2 linked regions of the Solanum lycopersicum genome follow. The protein of the gene in region 2 interacts with the protein of the main gene of each other region in a pairwise test. Links are inferred from orthologs where the notes say so. Each region holds a gene or a part of one and is shown on either strand. Other genes may lie near its edges. The genes, in order: transcription factor bHLH128 and LUG2.

What was found.
Region 1: the proteins of LUG2 (region 2) and transcription factor bHLH128 interact in binary tests that used the Arabidopsis thaliana proteins (3 or more experiments, as listed by UniProt). The link is inferred for Solanum lycopersicum from reciprocal best matches to the Arabidopsis thaliana genes LUH and AT1G05805.

The regions. Positions count from the first base shown.
Region 1 is NC_090808.1:69,416,405-69,424,944, forward strand, and holds the start of transcription factor bHLH128, read right to left. Parts: upstream 5,093-8,540; 5' UTR 4,918-5,092; coding exon 4,488-4,917; intron 1-4,487.
Region 2 is NC_090808.1:55,375,719-55,382,516, reverse strand, and holds the end of LUG2 (transcriptional corepressor LEUNIG_HOMOLOG), read left to right. Parts: intron 1-362; coding exon 363-460; intron 461-596; coding exon 597-706; intron 707-798; coding exon 799-1,100; intron 1,101-1,211; coding exon 1,212-1,278; intron 1,279-1,394; coding exon 1,395-1,503; intron 1,504-2,260; coding exon 2,261-2,310; intron 2,311-2,401; coding exon 2,402-2,650; intron 2,651-3,579; coding exon 3,580-3,657; intron 3,658-3,888; coding exon 3,889-4,080; intron 4,081-4,273; coding exon 4,274-4,400; intron 4,401-4,486; coding exon 4,487-4,593; intron 4,594-4,751; coding exon 4,752-4,901; intron 4,902-5,076; coding exon 5,077-5,232; intron 5,233-5,330; coding exon 5,331-5,450; intron 5,451-5,535; coding exon 5,536-5,733; intron 5,734-5,831; coding exon 5,832-5,975; 3' UTR 5,976-6,244; downstream 6,245-6,798. UniProt on the Arabidopsis thaliana protein: Transcription repressor subunit of the SEU-SLK1 and SEU-SLK2 transcriptional corepressor of abiotic stress (e.g. salt and osmotic stress) response genes, by means of an epigenetic process involving histone modification (e.g.

The sequences.
Region 1 (8,540 bases), about 14 Mb from region 2:
GAAAATATCACCTAGTGTTTTCTCTTTGTTAGGAACTGAACCTAGGACCTTATAATGCTTAAACCTCCTTCGTTAACCACTAGACAAAACAAAATATGAATAGTAAATGAGAAAGTCCTTGATTTAAAAATTTTTTAAAATAAGTCATCATTTAAATTTAATCACTATTTTCACAAGTTGTGAAAATATAAGCCTTTGAAACTAACAAAACATTGAAGTTTGTTTATTGTCTACAAAATTTAAGATCATAATCAAAGCATTTCTTATATGAAGAATCATAAATTACACCAACAAATAAAAACAGGATCATCTGCTAACAGTCGACTGTAAAACTTTCAGAAAATATCTTAGAACTAGTAAAGCACTCAAAAACATTGGGCTGGTTTTAGGTGGCGGCTAAGATAATAATAATAATAATAATGGATAGAGCAAGTGGGAATAAACGGGTCAAGTAAATACCCATGCACGTGATAACTGACCAGTCATGGAATTTTAGGAGCTGTTTGGTGAATGCATCTTGACCTCAAAATAAGTAAAAAATGGATTCAAAGAATCGTAGGCACAATCACCATCAATTAAATAAAGGGACAAAACTCCTTCCCTTTCCTTTATTCATTATTTTATTGGCTAGTTGCTACTTTTACTAGAATTTTATATTTTATATAATGTCAACTTGCTATATTTGAAAGTTTGGACCCCACAAAAGAAATGCTCACTTCCTCCAATAAGGAGCTTCTTACTAAGATTATGATTAAGGAAACAACAAAATAATACTCTAATATCTATATTGCTCATTGGGCCCAAGTGACAACTTGTTCTATAAAATCAATTAATAATTCCAAAACTTATATCTCTACTCGTATAATTTACAGAGACCACAAAATACTTTTTGGCCCCTGAAAGTTTTTCAATTCTTTCTATTACATTACTACATAATTATACAATATTCTGTTTCAAATATTTTTTGACAATCTTACTTCAAATAATTTTTTCTTAGCCTAAAGTTTCATCACCTAGTAAAGAAGTACATATTGTCCTCCCTATATTCTATTTGTGATATTATACATATATGTTATCGTAATTATTCATGGAATAAATTTTTTAATAAAAATGATACCATATAAAATGAAATAAAATGAATAATAAGTCCCAAGTTGTGCTCGTTTAATTAATTAATTTATTTATTGTTTTATTTGGGTTGAAGAAAAGAAAACTACAACATAACTAATGGAATAGACTCAGTGCTCAAAGAAGCACACTCCAACCTCTCATATATCAATTACCATAAGTAGAAAAAATGAATAAAGGAACCGCAACACAACTTTATTGACCCATTCAAGTTTGTGTGACATAATGATCATGACTTAGTTCATACACACATTAACTTAAGAAACTAATACAACGATTAAAGGTCTAATAGTAGACCTAAACCTAACGTAGAGTAGATTATAATTATTTTAAAAAATTAATAGAGAATAAATTGCCTTTTTTCGAGGTCAAAGCATCCACATTGTATGTCCTATTCCAAATCAATATATCTTATTGGCAAAAAATCATAGATTAAACCACCCTTTTAGTTGAAAGGAGAATTTATTTCTATACCGATCGGACATTTCAAAAATATAGAAAATTGCATGTCAGGTCTTTTAAAATAGTGCATTTTAAATGAATCGTAATAACAAATTAAAAAAGTCTAACCAACTTAGATGATCAAAATGAGTTGTAGAGTTTCTGATAGTTGACAATAAAAGCATAGCCTTTCAGTCTCCCCACCTCATATCAAATTAATTTACAAAAGTAGTATCATTCTTTCTCCCTTCCCTGCTTCTAAGGATCTAGGCACCATTAATTATATTAATACAAAGGTCAAATATTTTTTTATTAAAATCGAAAAACAACAAGGATCAGTGATGCATGATTCACAGTTCAATGGATAATGAATTCATCTTTCTGATCTTCTCCATTTTGAATATCACACGTTATACTTTTACCATTAAGATCAAATCCCTTACCTCTTAGACTAAAAAGAAATAAAATTTGACTTTTATATAATTAACTACATATACGTAATTAATTAGATACATGCAAGTTGGTTTAAATATAATAGTTATAAAAAACTAAAAGTAACAAATTTGTTTAATATATTAACTTATAACTTCTTTAAATTTTCTCACCATTACGGTATATTATTGTTTATAAGCTCAGCAGTGTCAAATTGCACAAGTTGCATCTAACTCCGTTCAACCCCCACCCCAAATCCTATCTCCAGAAACATTTTTTTTTTAAAAAAAATATTAATTAGTGCTAATGAGATTCTATCTTAAAGAAGGATCCACCATCTAATGAGTAATTAATTAATACCAGTGGTTTCATTGGCCAAATGTTGTGGGCGATTGGAAACTTAGCAGACACACATGCATTCACCTTCACCAAATGTGGAACCCACCTTTACATGTCACTAAGAGTTGAGACAGGATTTAGACCTACCAATTAGCTCCACTAATCACCTAATTTGCCCTATTGATGGATAAGTTATTTTTAAAAGAGAGCAAATAATAATTTGCGGCTGCTTACGTTATATACCTTCTAATTTAGGAAACTAATTCCATTTATTTTAAGCTAACCCAAGATTGTTCCCCTCTACTTTTTATATTAATTAACAATAAGCGGAATTAAGATTTAGAGTATATAACTTTTGAATTCTAAATCATTAAGTTGGTTGTAAAACAAGAATTTATTTATGTTAAATGAATTTCTCGAAATAAATATATAATTTTAGCTAAATGTATCAAATTTTTTTTATATGCTTCAAAATAATGACACATTTTTAATCTGAAGTTTTTAATGTATACACATCTTATAAAAGTTACATATATGTTTTGGGATGTTACAGACCAAAACTTGTAGACGTATGTACTTTTTTTTCTAAAGTTTGTACAAAATCAAATTATGACACATAAATTGAAACGAAAGGATTAACAAATCATTTCTTGTATTTCTAAAATGGATACTAATATTTATAAATAATTTCAACTTGTCAAACGATTGATAATTGGGACTAGAGGGAGTATAAACCTTGAATTACACGATGTATTCAATTACAAACATGAACTACAGAAGTCTATCTAACATACTTGTCAAGATTGGAAAGTATAAATTTGGAAATGGTAGAAGGTAGATAGATAAAAGATGAAACTGTTTTTAGTGATTTGATTTCTACAAAATAGACATAAAATATATGTACATTCTGTACTTTCGAGACTTCTGTTATAAGATTATATTAAGTATGTTATTGTTATTATCTTAGACAGATAAAAAGAGCAGACACAAAAATACACTCACCATAGGAAAAGTAGAATTAGCTAAACTTTTGTTGATATGATATATTTTCTGTGTTCCATTTTATGTGAGATGATTCAATAATTGATGGACATATATCTTTTTAAAAAGAAATTACATATTTAAAATTGCTTAAAATGTAATATAAATTTAATAATTCATAGTTCAAAATTTTTATAGAATTCCTTTTAGCTCACCATTTTAGTAACTGCATGAAGTGGGACAAATGAAGTAGTACTTCTTTTTTAAGATTAGAAGTTAAAAGTACTAATCATATGGAGGGAAAGAAAAAATGAGTTTGCAAGTTGTAAGGAGGTATTAAAGATTCTTCGAGTACTAAGTATATCCTTAAACATGTACATAACTCTTTTAATCTTTTGGTAAATTTTTTTTAGCAACTTGTTATATGTAATTAGATAAGACAAACTCAATTACTCTTAGCATATTTCCCCACTTACTCTATATGTGTCCTTTTTTGAGTAATTATTTATGTTTAAGTGCTCAACTAGTCAGTTTATAACGTCTAATTGTGACATAAGTAAATCTTACTTTTGTACTGTAATCTCATGACAATTCATTTAGAAGTTAATGAAGTCCAATGAGATGATTAATATAAGTTAATCCTCCATTAATTGGTTCTATCTGCAAGAAACCTACTTTCTCATTTCATCGGTAGCTAATTACACTTTCTTTAAAAGGTAACTCAACGCATTAATTAAGCTTCTGCTGTGTCTGGGGTTTGGAAAAAAAACAGATCACAAGAGCTTATTGTTCGTAATTCAATTTAACATTTTTGTAAGAAATTATTTTTACGATTTAAATAGCTATAAAATTATTCTAACATGTTTAACTATAAAAATATTATTTCTTTCTTAAATTTTGTGTCGAAATTAACTTTGTCATGTGGACAAAATGTAACCAGGGAATACTTTAAAATGTAAAATGCATTTCAAAGTTTGTTAATTTATGCAAAGTTAGTTGTGATTAGTCAATTAGCAAAGTCTACTCTGATTGGTTAAAAAAGTTACCAAATGCTGATGACTTTAGCAGGAAAAAAAAAAAAGCAAACAGAAAGGAATCATATACAGGAAGGTTAAATTCGTCATTTGACATATCAATTAGGAAAAAAAGGGAAGTTGAAAACTTACCAGTATCACCTGCAGCAGTAGCAAGTTGATTAAGGAACCTCGCCGGTGAGCTACTATGTCGAACCAACGGCGTCGTTGAAGTCGTCGGCAAAACTCCTCCTCCAGCGCCGCTTCCGCCGCCGATTGTTAAGTCATTGAAACCAATTGACCTCTGTAAATTCGATTGTTCCTTCGCTTTACTTGTAGATTCGGAATTTAACGAAGTAGATGCTAGATTGGACTGAAAAAACCGTGAAGGACCAAGGTGTGAGTGATGAGATCCGTGAGAAGCGAACTCGTGATTACCGTTAACGACGGCTTCAACTGCTGTAGTTAAAAATGATCCCGGAGCTGAACCGTAGCGAGTGAGACCACCGCCGGCGCCGCCAGCGGTGGTGCTGGTGTGGCTCATTGAACCTTGTGATGAAGAAGATGTTGATGATGGATACATTTGATAATTTGTTCGAATTGGATTGTTAAGATTTGGAGGTTGAGAAGTTAATAGAGAGAGAGGTGGGTGGGTGGGGTGAGGGAAGAGAGCAAGTTGGGAATTAAAAAAATGAAAAAGTGCTACACTTGTTTTATGAAAAGTCTTGTGAGAAAGAGAGTGGATCAGCCAATGGGGTTCTGCTGTTTTTGTGATTTTGTCTTTACATTTTTTCTTTAATAGAAAATTAATATACAATGTGTACTACATCCTATCCTACTAAAGTATAAATTAATTTCTTTCAATTTACGTGACACATTATCGTTATTATTTATATTGTGAGTTATGTCATTATTTATATTGTGAGTTATTAATTTTATCTAAAGTGTAAGTTTAATAACGTAATTCATGAAAAATGACGCATGAATTATTTTAAAGAGAGAAAATTTTAAATATTTTGAATTCATAATTCAAGAGAACAAGGATATAAATTACGATGTGGTATGTTTGTGTGATAAGAATATGTAGTAGAGTTTTAAAGGCAAGTGAAATAATAGTGATTAGATCGATATTGTTTTATTGAAAAGAGGGGCTAGCTAGTCAAGAATATACCCACGTTTAGAAGAGCAGTCGTGTGGGCATACTATGAGGAATATGATCAGTTATAAAGTTAAGCAGATGTGTGGGCATACTATGAGGCATATGAAAATAAAGTTATACGGGGAAAATATGTGGGTGGCTTTTGCAACAATAAACAAAATGAGAAAAATGATGAGGTTGATATGATTCGAACATGTGAAGATGGAGTGTGCAAATATGTCGGGTAGGTGGTATGAGAAGTTGATTATGTATAGAAGGAGTTAGTGGATGTAAAAGTAGGTTGAAAATGAAATAAAGGGAGTGATCATAGCTAGTATCAAGATACGAAAATTTGGAGATCGAGGATTAAAGTAGAAAGTGGGTAGATATCCAGGTATTACTGTACTATATATAGGGGTATACAAGTCAAATCAAACGACGAACCAAATCAATTCGAAAAAAACGATTTGTGGTTTGGTTTGGCGTGAAAAAAAAATCGACCACTCTTGATTTGGTTTGCTATTCGAAGAAAAAAAGTCAAATCGAACCCAAACCAAACCGACATAATATAAATATACAATTTTGTTTTATTTATAAATAAAAAATATTATTTATAATCTACTTTGCTAATATATTTTTAGTTAGTTTATAGTTTTCAATGTTTATATATACTTATTTAAATTTGAGCTTGTAAAACTTTGTAAATATTTTATTTTGTAGTAAGATCAGAAGTTAAAATAATATTGTTATAGATTTTCAAATTCGAAGTTAACAATTTACTTTGTAAATATTTCGTTTTGTATTCACTTTGATTGTCGCCTTTGATCTTTATTAATTTTACATATCAAACCTTGATATTTCAAAAACAAAAATATTTTGTACTCGTGTAAATTTTACATCTTTTCGATGACATCTTTTAAGTTTAGCTTATCACACAGATAACTGAGAATATATTGGATCACTTTTTCAAACACCGTATAATTGTAAAAAATCAAAAAATCAAAAGAACCGACTAAAGTCAAAACTGAAAAAACTTGACTTTATGTGGTTTGATTTGATTTTTAGATTTAATAGAATTGGTTTAGATTATTATTAATGAAAAACCAAACCGGCCCATGTACACCCCTAACTATATGTACGGGAGAGGTGGGGTCAGTCTTCTCGTTCCCAATTCTCGTTTTCAGTAATAGTATTAATAATCATGTAGTTTCTTATTCTTTTATGTGTTTATACTATCGATTTTTTATTATTCAGTTGTCATATTTTCTTGTCATTCTGCTTTAATCATAATAATCATTCTATAATAACGAAGGTCTGTTCATACAATCTATTCTCCACAGACACATACTTTGCCTAATTAACCGGCCCCTTCCTCTTCTACATTGGTTTCGTTTGGCGGGTCCTCACCGGGTCGATCCGAAAAGGTGCAGGCCTGACCCGGCCTCAATCCATATTGTTCAACTTGCTGCTCAATGTGGTGTGCCAAAGCAATGCATGTGAAGCAACACTATATGTAGTACACTGTACTAGCAATTGCACGTATATATACTCAAGTCACGAGAAGTTTGTTTGTATTCCTCAAGGATCATTATAGAAAATAGTATTATAGTAATTATTTTTCATTAGTGATTTAAATACTTATAAAACATATAAAAAGATAGTGATTAAGAAAATTGTTTAGCATTTAAAGTTTGAAAAATATCTCATAAATTAATACAAAGAGAGTACTGTACTGCAAGTAGGTTAATAAGTCTGCATGCATATTGCTACTTTACAAAGAGGCAAGTCTATATATTAAATTAAAAGGAGTAAATAAAGCTAATTTAGTCAAATAATCCTTTCATTAATATTTATATACAAATAAAATGGAGTAGAGAAAGTATAACCTTTGTAATTTAAGAAATATTCCATTTAATATAAGTAATATAAAGTCCCTAAACTATTTTTCATAATTAAAAGAATCATCAATATTTGTAAATTTTAGGATTCTGCCAATAATAATTATATATGACAATTTGTTATTTCCTTGATAAATAATTAGAAGATTAATTATCTTTTTTCTTTTTCATATTGAATAATTCTTTCTTTTTCATGTTCATATGCACTTTTCCTAGAACATAGTATGTCTTTTTTTTTTAAATTTAATTTAACATATTATGTCCTGTGTATTATATTATATTTGTATGGATCATGTCAAGTATTTTTATTATTATTATACGTATTGACATTTCCTAGTGTGAAAATTATTTTTTTCTGATAAATTATTTATTGGTCTATCTCAAAAAGTCTTATGCCTACCTTATTTGAACACTAACATTTTTTTTTATACATAAACTTGAACACTATAGTTTATAGTTTAGAAAAAAGTATACTCGAGAAAGTGATCATATGCTAACTTTATTTGAAGTTTTGAACCTTAAATACTCAATTACCAAACCTAAACAGGCCAAACATACCCTTATTCTCATAAATATACCCACAGAGATTAGAAAAGAAGAAAAAAAAAATTAATTGCTTATCTTAGAAACTTACTAATTCTACCTATATTATTGGTAAAAAAGAATATCTTTCATTTAAATCTTCTTGTTCATTTTTTAAAAAAAATAGCATATTCTATATTAAAATTGACAATTAATGACCTAGACCGCTATATGTAAGTATAAACCATTCTTTTATATGAACCTCAGTTCAATGACTAAACGATTTAAAATTTTAAAAATCAAATCAACCAAGTTGTACCCTTACATATATATTTTTTTTTTTGGAGTGTCTGTCTGTTATCACAATTTTCTAACTCTTACATCAATTGAATAACTTTATTGTACAAATATTGGTTCTAAATTACACAAATTTCAACCCTTTCCCCACTATTTTCTCTTAATAATAATTTATTTCAACTCTCACATCGATTCAACAACTAGATGCATGTATATGACCTAATTAAGTGTACTTAAAATTGCACAAGTTGCACCCTTTTCCCTTTGAGAATATGACGACTATAATTGGAAGGTTATAATATTTTTAATAAAAGAAGGTGTTAATTTTTTTATTTTTTTATTCCCACCTCG
Region 2 (6,798 bases):
AATACTATTCATATCTAATATTATTCTTGTTATTTATTGTTTCTGAAGTCAAGAACTATTGTTGGATAGAGGGAGTAGTTACAGGTGCATAGTCGGGCGGGAGGGATGGGGAAGGAAGATTACTCCTAATTACAAGGAGTGGTGGATGAGGATCAATTTATCTAATCCTCACTACATTAAGGAACTTCAAAAGATTACAATTTGTTTACTTGAAAGAAATTACATTTTTTTGACAAGTTAGAGGATAAATTGTTTTGACTTAGCCGAAGAGACAAATTTTCAGGATGGGGATATTATTTGTTTTCATTTGTACTATTGTTGATTTTCGCCCTTATTTTTTGGCCTCTTGTTAAATTTTCTAGGCTGGATGTTTACATTCATGACTATCTGCTGAAACGAAAGCTGCATAATTCTGCAAAAGCATTCATGACAGAAGGAAAGGTTGCTACTGATCCTGTAGGTAATGATGTTAGATGATGCTTTACGTTTAAATTTCTTTCATTCAAAGGGTAGCCATCTGTATAACTTTCGACATGTTTTATTCTTATTTCTTGATCGGAGTCTATGTTTTGATCTTCTGGTTCATACTTTTATAGCTATTGATGCACCTGGAGGATTTCTTTTTGAATGGTGGTCTGTGTTTTGGGACATTTTCATTGCAAGGACAAATGAAAAACATTCCGAGGCAGCAGCAGCGTACATAGAGGTTTGTTGAACTTAAGCAATGACCCATGACACAAATTACTTAAAAGAAGCGTTACACATTTCATACCAATTAGCATTTCCTTCTATTTTTAGACTCAACAAATGAAAGCAAGGGAGCATCAGCATCAACAGCAGTTACAAATGCAGCAATTGCAACTGATGCAACAACGAAATGCACAGTTACAGCGAAGGGATCCAAATCATTCCCCTCATGGTGGTCCTATAAATGCTATCAACTCCGAAGGTATGATGGGGCAGCCATCTGCCAGTGTATTGGCAATGAAAATGTACGAGGAACGAATGAAGCATCCTCAGTCCATGGACTCGGAAACATCTTCAGCACTTATTGATCCCAATAGGATGGCACTTCTAAAGTCAGCAACTAATCATCAAGGGTATGGTTGGTGCAACTGTTCCTTATGTTATTGCATTATTTTACACAACACGTAACTATTTGTTGCATGCTTTGAATCATTTGTATCTCTATTTCTTCTCTGTTGATTCAGCCAGTTGGTACAAGGAAATTCAGGGAACATGTTGCAGCAAATACAAGGAAGGCCTCAGATGCCAACTGTAACTACATGAGCTCTTAGTTCTAGATACTAGACAGGATATCTCTTCTTTGTTCAATACTCGGTATTTTGTCTTCTTTTACCAAGCTAATGACGATACGTATTTCAACTATGTAGGATATTAAAGGGGAAGTGAACTTGGGTGGCACTCACAAGTCTTTGCCCATGGATCCTTCATCAATTTATGGGCAAGCGATTCTTCAGTCAAAGGCTGGTCTTGGTGCAGGTATTACTACAGAAGACTTATTTTCAGCATAAAAAATAGAGATACATTTTTCGATTGACATTCTTTGTCCACCTATTACTAATAATTTCAAATGGAAAATATATCCATTATCATAAAATGCACTTTTAGTAGTGATTTCACCTAATTATCTTTGTTTATCTTTGATATGACGTATGTTTTTTTCTGAAAACCTGCTCATCTTCCCGTAAGACACTTAATCATGTGGATTTTTATGGAACTCCGTTCATTGAGTGATATCATGGATAATTTCATTTTTTGCTGTTTGAACTTTGAAGTTAAACGACAAATTATTAAGCATTGCTAGACTATTTATAAAGCTTCTTAAGGTTTCTACTTTCCCCAAAGACACTGTCACTGTACTTGGAATCCAATTCTTTTTATTTTATATATATGATGTTTCACTTTTGGTAATTGTCTGTATCACACCTAAAGTTTTATTCATCTGTCTTTAGCAGCAATATATTACGGTTTATGGGTGGAAAGTACTGGAACTGGTCTTTTTTATGTGAGCACAATGAATTGTCTCTCTGCCTATTTCTTTTTATTGGCTTGTTGTAGGATTTCTATTTTTCCAGCTCAGCTTTCATGAAACTCTCCTTTTCCTATTGTCTCATTTTCTCTTTCTGATTAGTCTGTTTAGTTTTTTCCTGTCTTTTCTGAGTACTTGTATGTCAATTATATTGTAGATGATCTTACTTGGGCAATTTAGTCATTATATTTACTCCTTGTTCTTCAGGGTTGAACCAAGGTGGCACTACTCTACCATTGAAGGGTTGGCCTTTAACAGTAAGTTACCTACTACTTTTGGTCATTACTGCTTTTAGTATACTGAATTTTTGACGTGCATAGTCGATTGCTTTGCTCATGATATGTTCAGGGAATTGATCAGGTAAGGCCAAGCTTGGGTTTGCAAGTACAAAAACCCAACATACAGACCCAAAATCAATTTCTTTTGGCATCACAACAACAACAGGTCTTAGCTCAAGCTCAAGCCCAAGGTAACCTTGGAAACTCACCTAATTATGGGTTTGGTGGATTACCTAGAGGGAACTTTAATGCCAAAGATGGTCAGCCCCCTAGAAATGATGGATCCATTTGCTCTCCAGTACAGTCGAATTCCCCAAAGGTTAACTCGAATCTCCTAGAGTCCAGAATAGATTTTGCTTTTGCGCGTCAACTATACTATCTTTTTATCTGTTACACTGCACAACTATTCTGAGGCTTAGCCATTTTGTCTGTAAATGATAATGTCTGTTTCTGTCGAAGGGTTTGTGTTAACTCAGGGGCGGAGCTACCGTATTGATGGGGGGTTTGACCGAACCCACTGGCTTTTCCGTAGACCCTATATTTGTTTTTAAAAAAAGAAATAAAATGTATATATTATATTTATTTCCTGCGAGCCCACAATCACAATGAAACGATTGGTCCAACAGTATTTGTGCACCCAATAAATTCGTTTGGCCCCCACTCGAACGGGTTACTCTGATACAACATCTTACTCAGACATTCAAAAAAGTTTAAACCCAATTTCTTTTCTTTTTTTTCATCAAAAGTTAGGGTCTAACTTTTATTGTTAATCTAATTGTTACCGTCTGAAATCCAGTCTCCGGTATGTAATCTTGTCTCTCTTTTCATTTTTTTCCATACTTGTTTGCTTTTAGATGGTATGATTATCTATTCAAAATTTGATTTTTTATCTTTGATTCTAGGGTCATCCCACATTGATAATTTATTATATTTAATAATTGTTGTTTGCTTTTCAAAATTTTAACTTTTGTTGATGGGCAGTAATGGTTCAAGATTATAGTTAAACTAGTAAAATATCTATTTTAAGTGCCAAAATATTCGTGTTGAATTTAATAATTGTAAGCTCACTTAGAACTATATTGAAGATTATAGTAAAAATATTCAAAATTTGATGGTTGTTACTTTAGGTTTAGATCAATTTAGAACCCACTGGTCTGAAATCCTGGCTCCACCTCTTTGTGTTATTTCTTACAATCCGTATAACGGCTAAAGTTTAAAGTGCTTATACTATATACCTGTCTTAAACAGATGAAAATGTCCCAAATGCAGCACTCTTCGTCTCAACAACAGGACCAGTTGCAGCAGCAGCAGCAACAACTGCAACAGGTTAGCTTAAGGAAAGCGTAAAAAAAGCTGTTTTTTTATCTGAATTTTGATATCATCGAACTCATGTGATATCAACTTTTGTTAACAAGTGATATCTGTTCCTGCCTTGCCTTCTTTTGCTGCAGTTGGAAATTTCCATTCTTTTTCCTTTTTAATGTTTTGGTTTCCTGAAAAATAAATTATCTAATCAGTCCAATGAGTAGTTCATCCAGCTTCTTACTTTTTTCCCAGACCAACAGAAAAAGGAAGCAACATTCGTCTTCGGGACATGCTAATAGTACTGGCACTGGTAACACAGTTGGCCCTTCACCAAGTTCACCACAATCAACTCATACCCCAGGTGATGGAATGACTAGCATGTCAAAAGGTTTGATAATGTATGGAGAGGGAACTGGCGGAATTGCATCCTCTACAAATCAGCTGGTAATTCTTTCAGTTATTCATGCAAATGTTTGTTTGGATTATTTTTTTTCTAAATGTCTACTTTCATATTTGTTAATGAAGTATTTAGTTTCCATATAAATTCACAGTTTAATATGCTAATTATGCCAAGACCTTGAAAGTGCTTTTTACCATCTTAAATCGTATAATGCTCAACGTGACTTCTATCGTACAGGATGACTTAGAGCCTTTTGGAGACATTGATAATGTGGAATCATTTCTGTCACAAGACGGAGGAGATGGAAACATCTATGGATCATTGAAGCAAACTCTTACTGAGCACAAGCCTGAAACCTCAAAAGGTAATAATCTCACAATTGGACTTGTAAAAGCTCTATTGTGTTTCTTTTTTTTTTGCAAAATTATAAACTTAAACGATTCATCTCAGGTTTCTCCTTTGGTGAAGTTGGTTGTATACGCACGAGAAATAAAGTGACTTGCTGTCATTTCTCATCAGATGGGAAGTTACTTGCTAGTGCTGGACATGACAAGAAGGTAGGCTGCTCCAGAATATCTAATGTCTTTAGCATAAATAATCGGATTACTGTTTTATTTCGTTCTATGATATGTGATTGTAGGTTCTATTCTCTATTTTACTTCATTATTCATCTAAGAAATTGTAAATTATGAAACATTTACTATGTATGCATCAGGCTGTTCTTTGGAACATGGATACTCTACAAACAGAGACCACGCCTGAGGAACATCAGTACTTGATTACAGATATCCGCTTCCGGCCTAATTCTTCTCAACTTGCAACTGCTTCATTTGACAAGTCTGTGAGATTATGGGACGCAAGCAATGTAATTATTTTTATATTCTCTACTGGAACTTCAGATCTTTTCATTTTTTTGCCTTTTTCTTGTTTAAGAACTCCGAGATGTAGTTGTAAGGCCTTAGCTACAGTTGCATTTTTCAATAAATCAAATGTTAAACAAATTCATACTAAATAATCCGTTGCCGAACTTCTATTTGCAGCCTAGCTATTGTTTGCATGCTTACACGGGGCATAGTTATCATGTTATGTCGTTGGATTTTCATCCTAAAAAGAACGACCTATTCTGTTTCTGCGATAGCAACAATGAAATTCGCTACTGGAGTATTAGTCCATTTTCTTGTACTCGGGTGTCCAAGGTTTGCTTTTTAATGTAGAATACTGTTATGTATAAACCTACTTTGCAGTAGTAAATTCGTAATGAGCTAACTTCGACTTCATTTCTCTCTACTTGTAGCAAGGAGGAAGCGCACAAGTGAGGTTTCAACCAATGACTGGGCGTTTGTTGGCTGCCGCTTCAGATAAGATGGTTTCAGTCTTTGATGTCGAAAATGACAGGCAAATTCATTCTTTCCAGGTTTGTTTCCGTGCTAGCTGACTTTGAGTTTATTTGATATATTTTACCTTCATTCTCGACATTATATATCGGTGTTTGCTTATAGGGGCATCCTGGAGTGGTGAACTACCTGTGTTGGGATCTCAATGGTGAGTTACTGGCATCAGTCAGTGAGGAGTCTGTCAAAGTGTGGTCATTGGCCACCGGTGACTGCATTCATGAGCTAAGTTCTACTGGGAATCAGTTTCACTCGTGTGTTTTTCATCCTAGTTATCCTGCTCTATTGGTGATTGGAGGAATGAGGGTAATTGCGTTTGATAGACTACTTCATATTCATACACTTTTTACTGTTTAGTGACAATGCTCAACACTTCACTGCTATTTTGTGAATTTATGTTGCAGTCTCTGGAGCTGTGGGACATGGTTGAGAACAAAAGCATGACGGTTCCAGCACATGAGAACATTATCGCTGCACTAGCACAGTCACCGGCGACTGGAATGGTTGGCTCTGCAAGTCATGACAGTTCGGTCAAGTTATGGAAATAGAGGACAATTTCAAGATTTCACAAAAAAGTATATAGATATCTATAGCTCTTATTGTTTTTTATGAAGAATATCCATGTTTGTGGTTGTTATAGTTAACATTAGAGCGTGGTTTGCCGTTGAGAAAGGCGTTGCACAGTAACAGATTTGCAAATTTTCATGGTAAAATGTACCGTGTTTCTCCTAGTATTGGATAAAACGGATAATGAACATTTTTAATACCTCAAATTGTCACTGCTATAAGAGTATAAAAGTTTCCAGTTTGGTGCAAATGAACTGTGTTATGCATGTAGAGTTGTGTTCAACATCAATGTTATCGAAATATCCTGTAGGGAGTGCTATCCTCAATGGACCCTATTAGATGTGAATTCGGATTAGTCAAACTCGTGCACATAGGATGGAAAAATCAACTTCATTTCCTAAGGTTATCGACTGTCATACCAACATGCTCCAATGCTACATTGATCCTTCATTTGCTTTAGGTACTCGTGTGGAATGGGTCCAATAAGAGAGGCATTTTATGCAGATCTTTCAAATATTGAGGAAGTGGATGGGGCTATGCGTAAGATGAACAAGGCAAAAGCAATCGAGCCCAGACGAAATCTCGATCGAATTGTAGAAGAACATGAGCCGGGCAGGGTTGGATGACTCAATAGATTGTTTAATGTCATTATTAGGACAACAAAGATATCCTAAGAATGGAGGTGGAGTATGATAATCCAGTTGTACATCAATAAGGATTGATGTTTACTATTGCAATAATTATAGAGGCATCAAGCTGTTAAACCACACTATGAAAGCTTGGGAGAGAGTAGTGAAAGTGAGG